2 linked regions of the Arabidopsis thaliana genome follow. The protein of the gene in region 1 interacts with the protein of each later gene in a pairwise test. Each region holds a gene or a part of one and is shown on either strand. Other genes may lie near its edges.

Region 1 (8,092 bases):
AATTTGTTAGATATTATAATTTTTCAACGAGTGTAAACGTAATTCATTAAAAAGAAAAAAGAAAACAAATCATTAAAGAAACACATGTATATGTGCCAGTGCTACATGGAAACTTAAGATTGTTATAATAGTGTGTACTTACGTACACGTTGCAATCTTTTGTGTGTGAATGTCTTTCTCTAATTACTTAAATTTCATTTGTGGATAAGAATCAACAAACATACAAGTTCCATCTTGTTCCTTCTTTTGCATACACTGGAAAGATGTCAGAGTAGAAAAAAAGAAGAAAAAGTAAGTGATCCAACACCAGTTCATGTACACCATTAATTCTTTGACTGCTCTCTTTGAACTTGGTCACAATTGATCAATCAATTATGGTCATTTTATGTCTGTTGTTCGCCTTGTTCGTGACGTAACTGTCGAAACAGTTGAAATCCACCTAGATAAAAAGAACCAATTACTCAAAAATTTAAGGAAATCATAATAATAATAAGAAAAAAAATAATGTCATAAATTATTAAATAATATTAAGCATATGAATAATTTGATTATGATATTAGTTTACAAATTTAGTGAATATATTTGTTTCTGTTTCAAATAATCATATCTCTACTGTAAAATAATTATGAAATAACAAAACTTGACAATATGATGTATAAACAACACATGTTTAGATATTATTGCAACGCTTCTCACTTAAGTTCTCTTTTATACTATAGTAGAATGCTATATAGTCCGGTAACAATTTAAATAAAATATTCTTAACCAACTTTCCCAAGATGCAAAGAAAATTGATTTTAGAACCTCTACTTTTTTGGTATCTACTAATACTATATATCTAATCATTATATAAAATTCTCCCACCAAATTGATCAATGGGTCATCTTATCTTTATCGCCTTTTGCCTTTGTGACCATAAAAGGGTTTGAGAACTTGCATGACAGCCGAAAAAGGTGTGAATATTCATTGATATTAACGTGGCATTCCTATGAACACATAGAAACGTATAATTAAACTTGCTAATATTTTCATTTCACTATTATTTTCAACATCAAGTGGGATATTAATTTCTGAACTGAAGATAACTAAGATATTAACCGGTTCAGTTAACCGATTCCTTGCATTCTATAAATCTGACGCACCATATTTCTTCTCATACCACAATTACTAATTAACCAACTCAAATCTTGGAACTCAAGAAACAACAATGTCGGAGATGGCCGGAGATTCTTCAACATCAGAAGATAAAATCCATAAACCAAACCGCGAGAGGAATGTCTCCGGCGAACTTGACGTCTTCGAAGCCACTCGATATTTTTCCGACTTCAACGAACCAACGACGATCGAGTACTCAAGAATCCAAATACAGAAACAAAGCATTGTTACAGAAAATCGACAGAAGAGAGTACACCCTGAGACAGAAGAACACCTCCCTAAACCTAGAGTCGTCGTCATAAAGCCGCAGAAGAAAGAGATGACACGTGGCGGCGGTAAGAAGCTAACCAGTTTCTTGAACTCTCTTCTTCGCTCAGCTGGTCTAAAGAAGAAGTCAAAGTCAGCGCCGGAGGTGGAGACACCACGAGTAGAAAGGATGAGGAGGAAGAGCTGCGTAGTGACTACACACGCCGCAGATGCTTCGCCTCTCACCAATGCCGGCGCGTGGAGTTTAAACGCGCGTAGAAGAAGCTTTGATGAGAAAGATTTGAAGAAGAGTGATCAGAAGTTGAACATAAGATTTTGTGAGAGTCTGTATTCGGACCAAAGGGTTGAGACAAAAGACCCAAATGCAGGAGACAAGAACGATGTAATTGGTGGATGCGAGAGTGATTCAAGTTCTGAATCTGATCTTTTTGAGTTGGATTTGTTTGCTAAATCAAACCCCTAATTAAGAACGGTCCGGAGAATAATTTTCTAATGTAACTTCAGTCTTAATTATTATCATGAAGCGAGGTTGGACCATTTCCACCTTGTACAAAGTTATATTCGTCCATTCATATGTTGGGATATTTTATATTGAAAACTAGCTAGCAGAATTTAGTCAATTGGGAATCTACCAATAGTAAAAAAAAAACCCTAACTCGATGTCACCAACATCTCCTTTTTTAAAAACCCTAGCAATCATCGATTCATCTTTCCACCCTTCTATGACAACACCTATCATGCAATTATTCTATATCGTAGAAACAATTTTGGGTAAAATTAAGTTGATGGGCCTCCCCAAATCATGCATCTTCTTTCCCACTCCTACTGTTCTACTCTATGTATGAAATTGAAATAAAGTATACAATTTTTTTTTAAAGTATTACGCAATTAATACTCCAAACAGTTTCTTATACATATGACAATGCTCATAACAGTTGTCAGAGCATGTTGTAAAAAGCAATTGTTATAATATAAAAGCTGCTCTAGAGCACGTTGAAGAATGAAAAGAATGGATCTGCTGTGTCCTCGCACAAGATTTTTGAAAGGGAATGTATAATCTTATTTAAGGTTTGGTTGACAAATAAAACCTATTTAGCAGAAAAACATTAACAGAAACGAATCATTTAGGTACCCACGAATAACAGTAACCTTCTAAGTTCTAAACAATATTGAGACTACTTTTTGTCTATTGGTTGATGATTGCGTTTGAATAATAGGTGAATTTATCAATTATCATATAGGGATCAATATATTTGTTGGCAGAAAATAATAAATTACTGGGATACTTTTTTGCATGTTTAACATATATCATGTTTCATGTAAAATAACATATATCATGTTATCATGTAAAATCACGTACATTTTTGCCAACGTGAATTGATTGCTATTTATTATAAAAATACAATAATTAATTCTATTTATATTGGATTCTTTCATCCGTATTTTTGGCAAATATATAGTCAACATATGGTCAACATATTTATCTTAAATAATCATGCCGGGAATATTATCCTTAATAAAACCAACTAATCTATAAGAATATATATAACATTAGTGTATTTAATAAACCATTATTTTGTGAAAAAATATATCAACATCTTGAAAAATTTGTAGTTAAAAATTAAAACTGTTTTTATTTAAAACAAAAACCCATAGATTAGTTAATTCATATTATATTTTCTATCTACCACATGTATAAGATTTGCATTACATATTATTGAATTTGAAAAGTTTTATTCTAGTCAAATATGGTTTATTTCCTTCTAAGTGTGATCATTTCCTCTTCTTTTTTTCCAGCTGTAAAAACATTAATTACTATTTAAGAGGTTACCCAAAGAAAGAAGAATTTAATAAACCTTAAGGAAAGTCTTCTAAACTTTTTTTACAAAGACTCCAAAACCGAATCAGTTCTTTTTCAAATTTTTACTACAAGTCTATAACGTTTGACTAAGAAAATTCATTATCTCTTGGTCAAAGCATCAAGTCAGTAACAATGGCCAGTTTCAAATTCTTCTTTGCAGCCATAATTTTGGTTCTGTTTCATCCGGCAGCAATAACTTTTGTTGCTTCGTATGGCTCATTACAGGTAAGCTACAGCTAAAATTATTTACTTTTCAATTTTCTTAAAGGCTATTTCCACCTTGAGATCCAAAGAAGCCATGCGAATTCTGAGATATTCATCAAAAATTTTCTTCGACGAAATCAACTCGAATCTCTATTCACAATTTAGCGATATTTAGGGATATTATCATTTATGTTACAATTTAGGATTCTTACATCAATGCAGCTTGGCGATCAATGCTCATCGGACGAAGACTGCAATGTTGGACTTGGTTGTTTTAAATGCGGTATAGATGTTGCAAGATGCGTTAGATCCAATATCACAGATCAGTTCTCCATTGTGGTTAGTAATAAACAACTTTTGAATCAAACTTTATTAAAAATGTGGTGTTTAAATATAAATTTTAATATATATATTTGAGTGAAACACAAATCCAATTTGGTTTTAGGATCATAACTTAATGTAAGATTCTTAAGAGATGATGGATCATTTAGTCCACTAATTTTGTCGTATATCTTTACGATTATGGATTGTTAAACCCATTAACCCTTAATTTCTTTACCAAATTATAATTTTTAAACCAATTAGTATATATGTTTGGTTCTACTTGAATACTGATAACACTAAAGGTGAACATAATTCTTCCAACATAAGCCTCTCAGTATTGAGATATAGATGTGTTGATATATTGACATAAGATAGGCTTGATCTGCAACTCTTGACTATGTGGGGCTTAACTCTTCTACTGAATTTTTTTTCTTTGTTACAGAACAATTCGATGCCGTTTAATAAATATGCATTTTTGACGACCCACAATTCATATGCCATTGAAGGGAAAGCGCTTCATGTGGCGACCCAAGAAGATACTATAGTTCAACAACTCAACGTGCGTTTTATTAATCAATAGACAAAAAATATATGTTACTTCATTATTATTATTTTTCTATCTTGTGAATGTTATGTTTTTGTTCAGAGTGGTGTTCGAGCATTGATGTTGGATACGTACGATTACGAAGGAGACGTATGGTTTTGCCATTCCTTCGACGAACAATGCTTTGAGTTCACCAAATTTGTAAGTTTAATCTCTAAATTTCTCTAACCAAAAGAAAACCGAGTCAAACCAAAACAATTATTTAGCAAACGTTTGAAAATAGAGACTGGTTTAGAATATAAGAAAGTAATAAACAAAAGAACACAACTTTTTTTGGCATTTTCAAAATAATCTCCCTTTTTGGTTTACCCTAGTGTGTGTGTGTGTGTGTGTGTGTTTGTGCAACACGTTTGTGTTTTCAATTTGCAAAATGTATTGTGAGACACATAATTATTTGCTTTTGAAACAATTGGAGCGTTAGTTTTGTCTTTTATTGGAAGAGAAAATATCCTAACATGCAATGTTTTGGTATAAATGATTTAATTTGGCTTGTATTGTTTTGTTATGTCACTTTTTTAGAATCGGGCGATAGACACATTCAAGGAGATATTCGCGTTCTTGACAGCGAATCCATCAGAGATCGTGACATTGATCTTGGAGGATTACGTCAAATCGCAAAACGGGTTAACCAAAGTATTTACCGATTCCGGTTTGAAGAAATTTTGGTTTCCGGTTCAAAATATGCCTATAGGTGGCCAAGATTGGCCGTTGGTTAAGGATATGGTCGCCAATAACCACCGGTTAATCGTTTTCACTTCAGCTAAATCTAAGCAAGAAACCGAAGGAATAGCTTACCAGTGGAATTACATGGTGGAAAATCAATGTGAGTGTGATGAGATACCAAAATTCCGGTTTAATTTTAGTTTGTTTAGATATCACGGATTAATCCCAACGTGGTATTGATTGTTAGATGGAGACGATGGAGTTAAACCAGATGAATGTAGCAATAGAGCAGATTCTGCACTGTTAACCGATAAAACGAAAGCTTTGGTTTCGGTAAACCATTTCAAGACAGTTCCGGTTAAGATATTGACTTGTGAGGAGAACTCTGAGCAACTTCTCGATATGATTAAGACATGTTACGTAGCCGCAGGGAACCGATGGGCCAATTTTGTCGCCGTCAACTTTTACAAGGTAAGGTTATATTTATTTTTAATTTTAATATCTCCTTGAATGAATTTTAAACTTTAATAACTCCTTGAAACAGAGGAGTAATGGAGGAGGAACGTTTCAAGCAATTGATAAACTAAACGGAGAGCTTCTATGTGGACGTGATGATGTGCATGCTTGTTAATTTGACTTGAATTTAACAAAATGCATTAGTCTTAAAGCTCGCCTTAGTTTACAAGATATTTTTAAGATATATATATATATATATATATCAAATTATTTTAAACATCTGGCTAATCTTAGCATGCATAAAGCATTATATTTTTGGGCTTAGTTTAACTCAAGTTTTTTTTAAAATAGGCTCCAAATGGAACAAAAAATTAAAGGAAACTAAACATTTAGATACCTACGAAGTAAACTTCTGAAATCTGAACAATATTTTGACTGTTTTTTTTGTCTATTTGGTTGATCCGTTGATTATGGCGTTTGAATAATAATACGTGAATGTATCAATTGTCATATTCGGTGGTAGTTTAGCAAAAAAATAAATATGCTTAAAAAAAAAGCAAAAAATAAATATATGGGGTGGCAAAAAAAAAATTGTTGGGATACTTTTTGGCTTGATGTCAAAAAAACAAAAAGGTAATAAGGAAATTTTATAATCTCAAAACAAAATTTATTGGGCCGACCCGCCAAAAACACATATGTATTATTGGGCCAATCCGCCAAAAAGCCCATTTATACGATGGAAACAAAAAAAGAAAAAAAATATCGGTATCGTCTTCTCTCTGGTGTTTTCCAGTAATTCCCTGAGAAGTAGAAGTAGAAGCGAGAAGGAATTCGAAGAAACAGATTTCAACAATGGCGGCAGTTCAACAGCAACAAGCGATGCAGAAGAACACTTTATACGTAGGAGGTTTAGCTGATGAAGTTAACGAATCGATCCTTCACGCCGCGTTTATACCTTTCGGCGATATCAAAGACGTGAAGACGCCGTTGGACCAAGCGAATCAGAAGCATAGATCCTTCGGATTCGTTACTTTTCTTGAGAGAGAAGACGCTTCTGCTGCTATGGATAATATGGACGGTGCTGAGCTTTATGGTCGTGTTCTCACTGTTAATTATGCTCTCCCTGAGAAAATTAAGGGTGGTGAACAGGGTTGGGCTGCTCATCCACGTACGTTTCCAATTACTGTTTCTCTTCTCCTTTTGATTTCTGAAATTTGAGCTATTGATAATGTTGATTTGGGGGTTTATGAAATTAGGGTTTGCAATTAGTGTTCTTTGTGATTTATTATTGATTCTGCAATTAGTGTTGTTAGATTTGCGGATTTGAAGTTAGGTCAAGTTTGTATTTGCTTCTCGATTGTATATATGATTAAGCTGAGAGGTTGTCTCGTTGTTTAACAAATGGGACTTATTGGTGTTGTTGGTTTGTTTCAGTTTGGGCAGATGCAGACACATGGTTTGAGAGGCAGCAACAGGAGAAGGAGATTCTGAAGATGCAAGCTGAGAACAAGGCTGCCATGGAGACTGCTGAGGAGCTTCACAGGAAGAAATTGGCGGAAGATCGACAAGGAGAGATGGAGGAAGATACAGATACCAAAAATGATCCTATGGCCAGAGCAGAGGCTGATGCTCTAAGTCACGGCGATGCCTAATGAAAGTAAGCGTTACCGGATTCTCTTATGCACCTTGTCCTGTAGGATAACAAGTATGTTTTCGCCTGAGTGTGTAACACTGTCACTATCACCTCATAGAGTTTTTGAGGTTAGATTGTTTCTTGAGGTTGATTACCATGTTATTGCTATAGTTAATAGATTTGGTAGTTTGGTGAAACTTGCTTGCTTAGAAAAGTAAGAGTCATGTATCTAAACCGGATGCTCTTCATACAAAAAGGGTCATCACTAATAACAAGAACCAATTGCTTTTGACTCAAAGAAGAAAACCTAAATCCTACTCGGAAAATTTAAACCTGTCAAGCTTAGACCCCGCTTGTTTATCCATAAACCAAATCAGATTCCCATTGCTCGGGTGGACTAGCCTTGCAGGCAGAGACAGAGAGCTGTCTGGTAAGGGCAAATCATCGATTGCTAAGTGGATAGCATTGGCTTTGGATTCGCCGGTTGCTACTACGACAACGTTAGCAGCTGAGTTGATGACGGGCAAAGTGAATGTGATTCTCTCTGGTGGCGGTTTATGAGAGTCGGTTAGGAATGTGACCCAATCGTCCTTCACCTCAAGTGCTGGGTGGTTCGGGAAGAGTGAGGCTACATGTCCATCTGAGCCCATCCCAAGCAAGATCAGATCAAACCTGGGACTGTCACTGTTGTCTGACGCAGCCACGGTTCGTGATCTCACCATCTGTCTGATGGCGAATTCATACTCTGTTGCAGCTTCCTCCGCTGAAACTGTGTCGTTAATGGAACATATATGTCTCGGAAACACATTTACCTGAAAATAACAAAAAAAAATCAAAGTCAACATTATAACAAGACAAAATACACAGCTGTATTGACCAACACCATGATTGGATAAGTTTCCAGATCGTCCATTTGTTTTCTTCA
Region 2 (7,132 bases), 3.8 Mb from region 1:
CATTGTGACCATAAAAGCTAGGACCTTTTACAGTTACTTACCTCCATTGTCATTGACAGAGAGTTATTTGCTTTGACCGGTGGTACAAATTTTCTCTCGTGTGATATTCTCGTCATAGAGTCTTGTCTTTCTTGTTTCTCCGCCCTCATAGGTTGTTGCCTTTTCGCTTCATCACGCATTTTCGCATCAATCTCTTTACTAGGAGGATATTTTGGTAAGTTCGATGGATCGCAAGCAAACGGCTTGGTTTTGAAGTACTGACAAAAGAACAGAGTTTTGTCACTAATGCTTCCATGATCTCAGTAAACCAAGAACATAGTAAAACATCATGAACCAGTTACCTCACTCTCAAGGGCACGATCTGCAGAGCTCCGGTGATCAGGATCTATGGAGAGTAAAGTCTCTAAAAGTGAAAGAACACTTGCAGGAAAGTCCTTAAACATCTCTGATACTTTCCGCCTATAAGGAATCGCGGTTTTGAATCCAGCTGAAGATGGTAACTTCTGTTTTCTCCAGTAATTTTCTGTTGGTGAACCGCAAAGCTTGAAGATTTTATGCAATTGTTCTACCTAGAAAGATTAAGGGCTACATTTGAGTTGAAGCAAACAAGATGCAACCTGAATTTGGAGGAAATGAAATCTACGAGAATTTGCATACCTCGGTTTTTCCAGGGAGGATCGGTTTACCGGCATATAATTCACCTAAGATGCAACCTGTGCTCCATAAATCAACCCCAACACCGTAATGAGAGGCTCCAAGCAAAAGTTCTGGTGGCCGGTACCAAAGAGTGACAACATGGCTAGTCAATGAAACACTTTTTGCAGGGTCGAAAAAAGTTGCTAACCCAAAATCTGCTATCTTCAAGACTCCCTTACTGTCAATTAGTAGGTTTGAGCCTTTTATATCACGGTGAAGAACGCCACGGCTGTGACAATGTTCAAGCCCACTTAGAAGTTGTCGCATGTAACATTTAACCTAAACAACAGAAACATAAAAGAAACGGATTTTGAAGCGGAAAGAAAAATCTATGCTTTTGACATTAGGGTAGCTCAACATTTATGTGCAGTACCTGAGGCTCTGTAAACTTGACACCAGGTAGTGAAGAAAGTCCTAAGAGATCATGATCCATGTACTCAAAAACTAAGTAAAGGGACGATGAGACAGGGGCAGTGATCAATCCTTCCAATTTCAGGACATTAGGATGATCAAGCCGTCGCATTACTATGATCTCTCTTGCCATAAACTTAACACTTTCCATATCGTTAAGATCAAACCGGACTTTTTTTAGCGCAACAATCTTGTTATGAAGAAGATCGCGAGCTCTGTATACGCTGCTATATGTTCCTTGGCCAATCTGCATCCATAAGAAAGAAGGTTCTATTAAACAGAAACAGGATCTGGACCAAAGAGTGGTAACAAAAGAAACTTACTTTCTCCAGCTTTTCAAAAGTATTTGCTCGTCGTGGAGCCCAATCCACTAGTGACTCACCAGCAACAGAGACCAGCCAAGACGGCCATCCTGCTGCCACTTGCTTCCGCTCTGCATCCTTTGGACTAACAATGCTTGAACCCCTCTTCAGTTCCCGATGAACCACTCGAACCGAAGCTTCAACCTCAGGTTTCTCTACTCCCTTCTCTATCTGATGATGCTCAGAAAACATGCTAGAACTCAACTTTTCAGATTCAATCAACCGAACTTTGGAATCTTTGCTATTCCATCTATCTAGCTTGGCCTTAACAACCTTTGGATCAATATCCAAGTCCGAGTCTACAACAGCACTAGAGGCCCTTCTCAATTCCTGATCATGCACAACTCTATCCATATGAGCAACTGTCGCAGGATTCTCTAATATCTTCCCAATCTGATGATCATGACACCTACTTGTACTAAACATTTCGGATTCAATCAACCTAACTTTAGCATCTCCACTGTTACTCAATCTATCAAACCCATCTTCCGGTTGAATCCAATCATCAATCCTCCTCGACGAATCAATCCGAGAGGAACGTTTCTCCTCTGATGACTCTTTCAGTGTTGTTGACTTTCTTCTAAAAGGCCTATGCCTAGAATTCACACAACCCATTCGTATGCTCTCTAGAACATGAATCTACACACATAACCAATCTACAGAAAAACTTAACCTTTATTATTCACAACCCAATCCATTCACTTCCCTAAAATCTAAACCCTAATTTCAATCCACTCAGAACAAACACACAACTTCAACGGCTCAGCGGGAAATACCCAATTCACGAAAACCAACAAGATCGTATTTTTGAATTCTTCTTCTTCTTCGGAAGACCACACACAGTACACTGTGAAATCCCCAGAAAGAGTGATTCGAACCGGAAAAATCAAAACTTTGGCCGGAATTGAGTGAAGGAATGGAGAGAAATTGATGAAGATTGACTTTAGGCAAAGCGTTGAATAGAATCAAAGAGGGTTGCGGAGAGAATATGTAAGGAAAGGGGAGATTTTTATTTGTTAGTTGTAGCAGATTTGACTAATTAAACGATTACGTAGAGTGAGTCACTATCATCGATCGATGTATGAACGGATTCATAAAAAAAATAGCTAAATGTCAATAACCAACTTAGCCGCCTTTCGTCGACCAAAGTTAGATTTTTCTCCACATCTCTCTCTCTCAGTCTCTCTATGGCTCTATCTCATCATCATTCATGGAATTCTCTTTCATTTATTTTTATTTTTTAAAATGTTCAGATTTTATTAAATGTAAGTTTGATTGGTATCATCATTCAGCCTATTCAAATAATTGTATCAAGACTTGTTTTAGTCAACATTTTTTTTTTGTCAACCTTTTAAATGGTAGATAAAATTGGTTGAAAATTTTAAAATAAACTTAGAGCATTATTATAGTCTTTCAATCTATTTGATCATCGCTCTTACAAGACTAATTGTATTGACTTTTTATTTCGTTTGAAATTATTCTAATTGTTTAGTTTTTTTTTTTTTTTTTAATTGTTTAGTTTTCGTGTATGAAGTTCTTATAATTTAACATGTGGACTAAAACAGTGAAGACAAAAATATAAGAAATTAATCACGAGTATAAAGAAGTTCAGAATTGTGATAGGAAGATGTTGTTTGACTCAAATAATTTGCCAAATACATGTGCACACGCGTGTGTTTGTAAATAACTAAAATAGAATAATTTATGAAATACTTTAATTTACTTGGCTCACACGACAGCCCGATGTCTTTAGAACTAATTCATTTACTTATTTTAAAAAAAAATCAAAGTGTATTAAATATAGAGATCGTCAATAGGATGCCGACACCTTCATCGGCATGCGGACCATGCGGTGTTGCCAATTTGCCATCGCGACCGTGTTGTATGGCAAAATTGGACTCCGTTTCCGGTCATGGGATTATGAACTAGAAGATTCTTTGAAGTGTACATCAATAGAAGACTACAAAACTGGAAGATTATTTGTTTAATGTTCTTACAAATTAATTCTCAAAGTCGTGTCAACTTCCATATTAGAAAAGCGTTTGACACATAACAAAGTCGTTGCAATCGTTCGTACGTGAAATTGTTACAAATGTCAAGGGACGTTAAATTGTTTCATATGCCAAGTAAATCTTAGTATTCCAAATGTCCAATTACTTGGAAGATGGTTTACCATACAATACCACATCCATATCCAATTTTAAAAATGTTTGATTGTAGATTCTCAACTTATATGATTAGTGTTCCATATATTGTAGATAAATGCTTAATCTCATTTGATGACTAGACGGAAGAATATTAAAATCCATATTCAAGAGAAAAAGCTAAGACTTCCATAAGAAAAAGACAATCGCATGCATTCAAGAATTTGCTAGCGGTGAACGTCAAGAAGTTTCGTTCCTTTAGAGTCTTCTTCATAAAAGATAGACAAAACAAAACAAAACAAAAAAGGTAAAATGTCATTAAAGGTTAGAATAAATAGACGATTCTTTTATTTTAGTTTGTCGGCTATAATAAGCGTAGAGGCGCACTATCAAGCCAAATCGCATTAAAAAAAAGAAAAGGAAAGACAAATCGCATTTGTTTGTTTGTCCCTAACTTGCTATACGACTAAACTAAAAAAAAAAAAGAAGATAATGCATTACGTCTCAAACAGATTTGTTGAAGTAAAAAATGGTATAAACAGAAATCGCGTTTCGTCATTAGTATTTAATTTCATAATTCCGAGAGGAGAAAGAAATAAACGAAGAAAAGAGTAATTAAGTGATATTAATGGAAATAATAATATTTTTGATCAGAGTGAGTTCACGCAGTTTCCATGTATATTCATTTGTTCCTAATTTCCATGTCTGGTCTCTTTTGGGGGAAATCAATAAATAAAACGAAACTTAAGCGCGTGTACTCCACTACAAGCCTCTAAACCAACGAGTGATTAACACGCGCTTTAACATGAGAGTGGGACTCACGTGAACTAATCTATTTTCCCCAAATCTGAAGACTTTCACTTTTTTTTTTGTGCTCTCTCTCTTCTTCTTCTTCTTCTTCTTCTTCTTCTAGTTCTTCAGCACAAATCTCAAATCACGGAGATTTCAATTTCCAACACAAAGAAAGAAAAAATCCCTCAATAAAAAATCTCAATCAGATCGCCGATGATGGATCCAACAGGATCGCCAAGAACATCGAATGGCTCTCCTCCAAGATCGTACCTTATCTTTATGCGAATCATGAGCAAGAGACGGACATGGGTTTGTCTCTTTGTAGCTGTCTACGCGATTCTCCTGGCTTCCTCATGGAACTTTCTCACATCTGTGCTTAGCTGGTACAAGCTCCAGTACACGTCATCGCCGTCTCCGTCAAGATTACCGGCGGTTTACGCGTCTGTGGTGTTAGGAGCTGTGTTTGGAGCCATGTCGATGGTTGCGGCGGCTGCGGTTGCGGTTCCGGCGGTTATGGTGATCTGGATATCGGTGGTTGTGTTGCTTGCGTTTTTTGGGAAATCGAGAAGGGTATTGGTTGTTGAAGCTCGTAAGATTACAAGAGAAGTGTTTGGATTTGTGTTTAAGGTTCTTTTGAAAGAAGGCAATGCTGTTGCTGCGGTTTGTGCTGTTTTGGGTTATTTCATTCTTATTAGAAAGGATTTTGATTCGATTTAGGGTTTTTGATTTTGGGAAATTTTCTTCTCTTTTTTTATTATTATTGGATTAGGTGGGTTTTTCTTTCTTTCCTGGAAATTTGACTATTATATTGAAGAAACTCTTGTCTTTTGCTTCTTGTTTAACTTGTTGCTAATGTAGCAATGTATATGTACATTTTATAAACGGAGATGTTCTTGAATCACTATCATTATTATTTCTTGAAAGCGTGTCAAATTATTACATTTTGGCGAATGTTAGCTATCCATTGTTGGTTGGGTTCAAGGTACTTCTTTTTGGTAAACCATAGCAGAAATATAACCTGTACCAACAAAATATCCTAGCAATAAAAAAATAATATATATATATATATATCCTACCTAGCAACAAAACTGAACAAAGTATCCAACTACTAATTCATGCATTTCTCATTTTTTTTTTTTTTTTGGGGACGCTTCCATGATAGTATTAAAATTTGGTATATTCATTATTTTTATTAATCAATTTGTTCATTTTCCTAAAATTACTTATCTTTTTGCTTATAATTTACCCTCTCTTTTTTTGTGTCTAGTTGATTACTTACTTTTTACTTCTTCTCAAATGATGACCTGAATTTTTCTCGTAAGTTCATTATTAACTAAGTTTTAGTAAGCAGACCATGTAGAGTGTTCTAAAGATTACTACAAGTGATTATGTCTTGGAATTTAGGCCCATCTCCCATACGCCATACATTAGACAATTTAAACGTAGTTAATAATGGATAAGCTATGATTTAGTGAAATACTTTCTATTGCAAAACCAAGCTGTGAATATCATTTCTTGGGACGAGTGAAGGGAGAACTGAGAACGATTAAATCCAAGCCAAAATTGTATTAGTTATCCAACCCGAATAATAAAAATAGGGAAATCAATATTCTTATTGTATTAGTAAAAATGAACAGTGTAATTAAGCATAACCCCCAGAAATAACAGATAAATAAAAAATAAATTATTATTATTAAACTCAAAACTATGGTCTCGGTCTCTCGGACATATCAATTATTAAACAAAAATTAGGTGTTTTTGGGCTTTGTGGCCCATGTGTGTTCACGAGCCTCTCTTATCTGGGCCTGGTTTCCCCTTGTGGGCGTTTCCTCTGTTCATCATGTAATGGGTATGGTCCAATTTATATGTTTTCGTATGCTCCTAAAAAAATGAAAACCTTTTAATAAAAATAATAATAAACAACAATATGTTTACATATTTCTTAACTTGAACAGTAATCCTTACCCTTACCTTATAGTGCCTAAACTTTCAGTTGATTTACAGACTATTCGTTAACTAGTATTTTGGCAATGAGAGCAGAATTCTCCAAATTTGAGTTTGCAATTTGTTATAAAAATAATTGATTTTGTTGATGTTTAGTAATATTTTTTTTCTTTTCAATGTAATGTTTAGTAATTTCTCTATGTGTGAGAGAGTGAGATTGGCCAAAAAAGGAGGGAAAACAAAAACTTTGAGATTTGGCACGAAAACCAATTATGATAACAAAAGTCCATCTGTACGGAAAAGATTGAAAAAGTGGAGCTGGTTTCAAAACTCAAATTTGTTGGAACAATAAATTAGTAGTCGTGTAAATTTACAAAAACTTTTGTATATTCGTAGTCAGTTTTAAGAGAGATCTAAACCAATACTGGTCGTTGCTTAGACAGAATCCACTGGTGAACTCGTTTCGGGACATGCGATTTCTACTAGGCAAAAAGAGATCTGGACAAGATGTATTCAGTGCTGGCATTGGAATCTATAATTCATACAATTGAATGAAAACTATAGAATTCAGTTTGCTAATATCAGTTTCAGTAAAACCCCAAAATTAAAACTGAGCACAACCCTAGAATCTTTTGCCCTCGTAAGTCGTAATGTTGAATTTGACTTCCAAGTTGAATACAATTATGCCCTTCACGTCAAATGTTTTTTTGTCCTTTTTCTTTTTTCGTTTTTTTCTTTTCTTCTTTTAATTATTTTTCGTCACTTTTTTTCGTCAATTTAAAA

Evidence for each region. Proteins that work in one complex are often made in the same cells at the same time.
Region 2: the proteins of AT1G13680 (region 1) and AT1G03730 interact in a protein complementation assay, tested with the Arabidopsis thaliana proteins (one large-scale study listed by BioGRID).

What each region holds. Positions count from the first base shown.
Region 1 is NC_003070.9:4,686,994-4,695,085, forward strand, and holds AT1G13680 (PLC-like phosphodiesterases superfamily protein), read left to right. Parts: upstream 1-3,299; 5' UTR 3,300-3,415; coding exon 3,416-3,508; intron 3,509-3,709; coding exon 3,710-3,826; intron 3,827-4,253; coding exon 4,254-4,370; intron 4,371-4,457; coding exon 4,458-4,556; intron 4,557-4,934; coding exon 4,935-5,238; intron 5,239-5,325; coding exon 5,326-5,549; intron 5,550-5,622; coding exon 5,623-5,709; 3' UTR 5,710-5,848; downstream 5,849-8,092. Other genes in the region: AT1G13670 (uncharacterized protein), read left to right, coding at 1,208-1,885; ATE1 (ATPase E1), read left to right, coding at 6,387-6,702, 6,969-7,186; PGL1 (6-phosphogluconolactonase 1), read right to left, coding at 7,482-7,979.
Region 2 is NC_003070.9:929,007-936,138, reverse strand, and holds AT1G03730 (pyrroline-5-carboxylate reductase), read left to right. Parts: upstream 1-4,153; 5' UTR 4,154-4,618; coding exon 4,619-5,122; 3' UTR 5,123-5,424; downstream 5,425-7,132. Other genes in the region: AT1G03740 (Protein kinase superfamily protein), read right to left, coding at 42-257, 342-569, 658-975, 1,070-1,354, 1,431-2,084.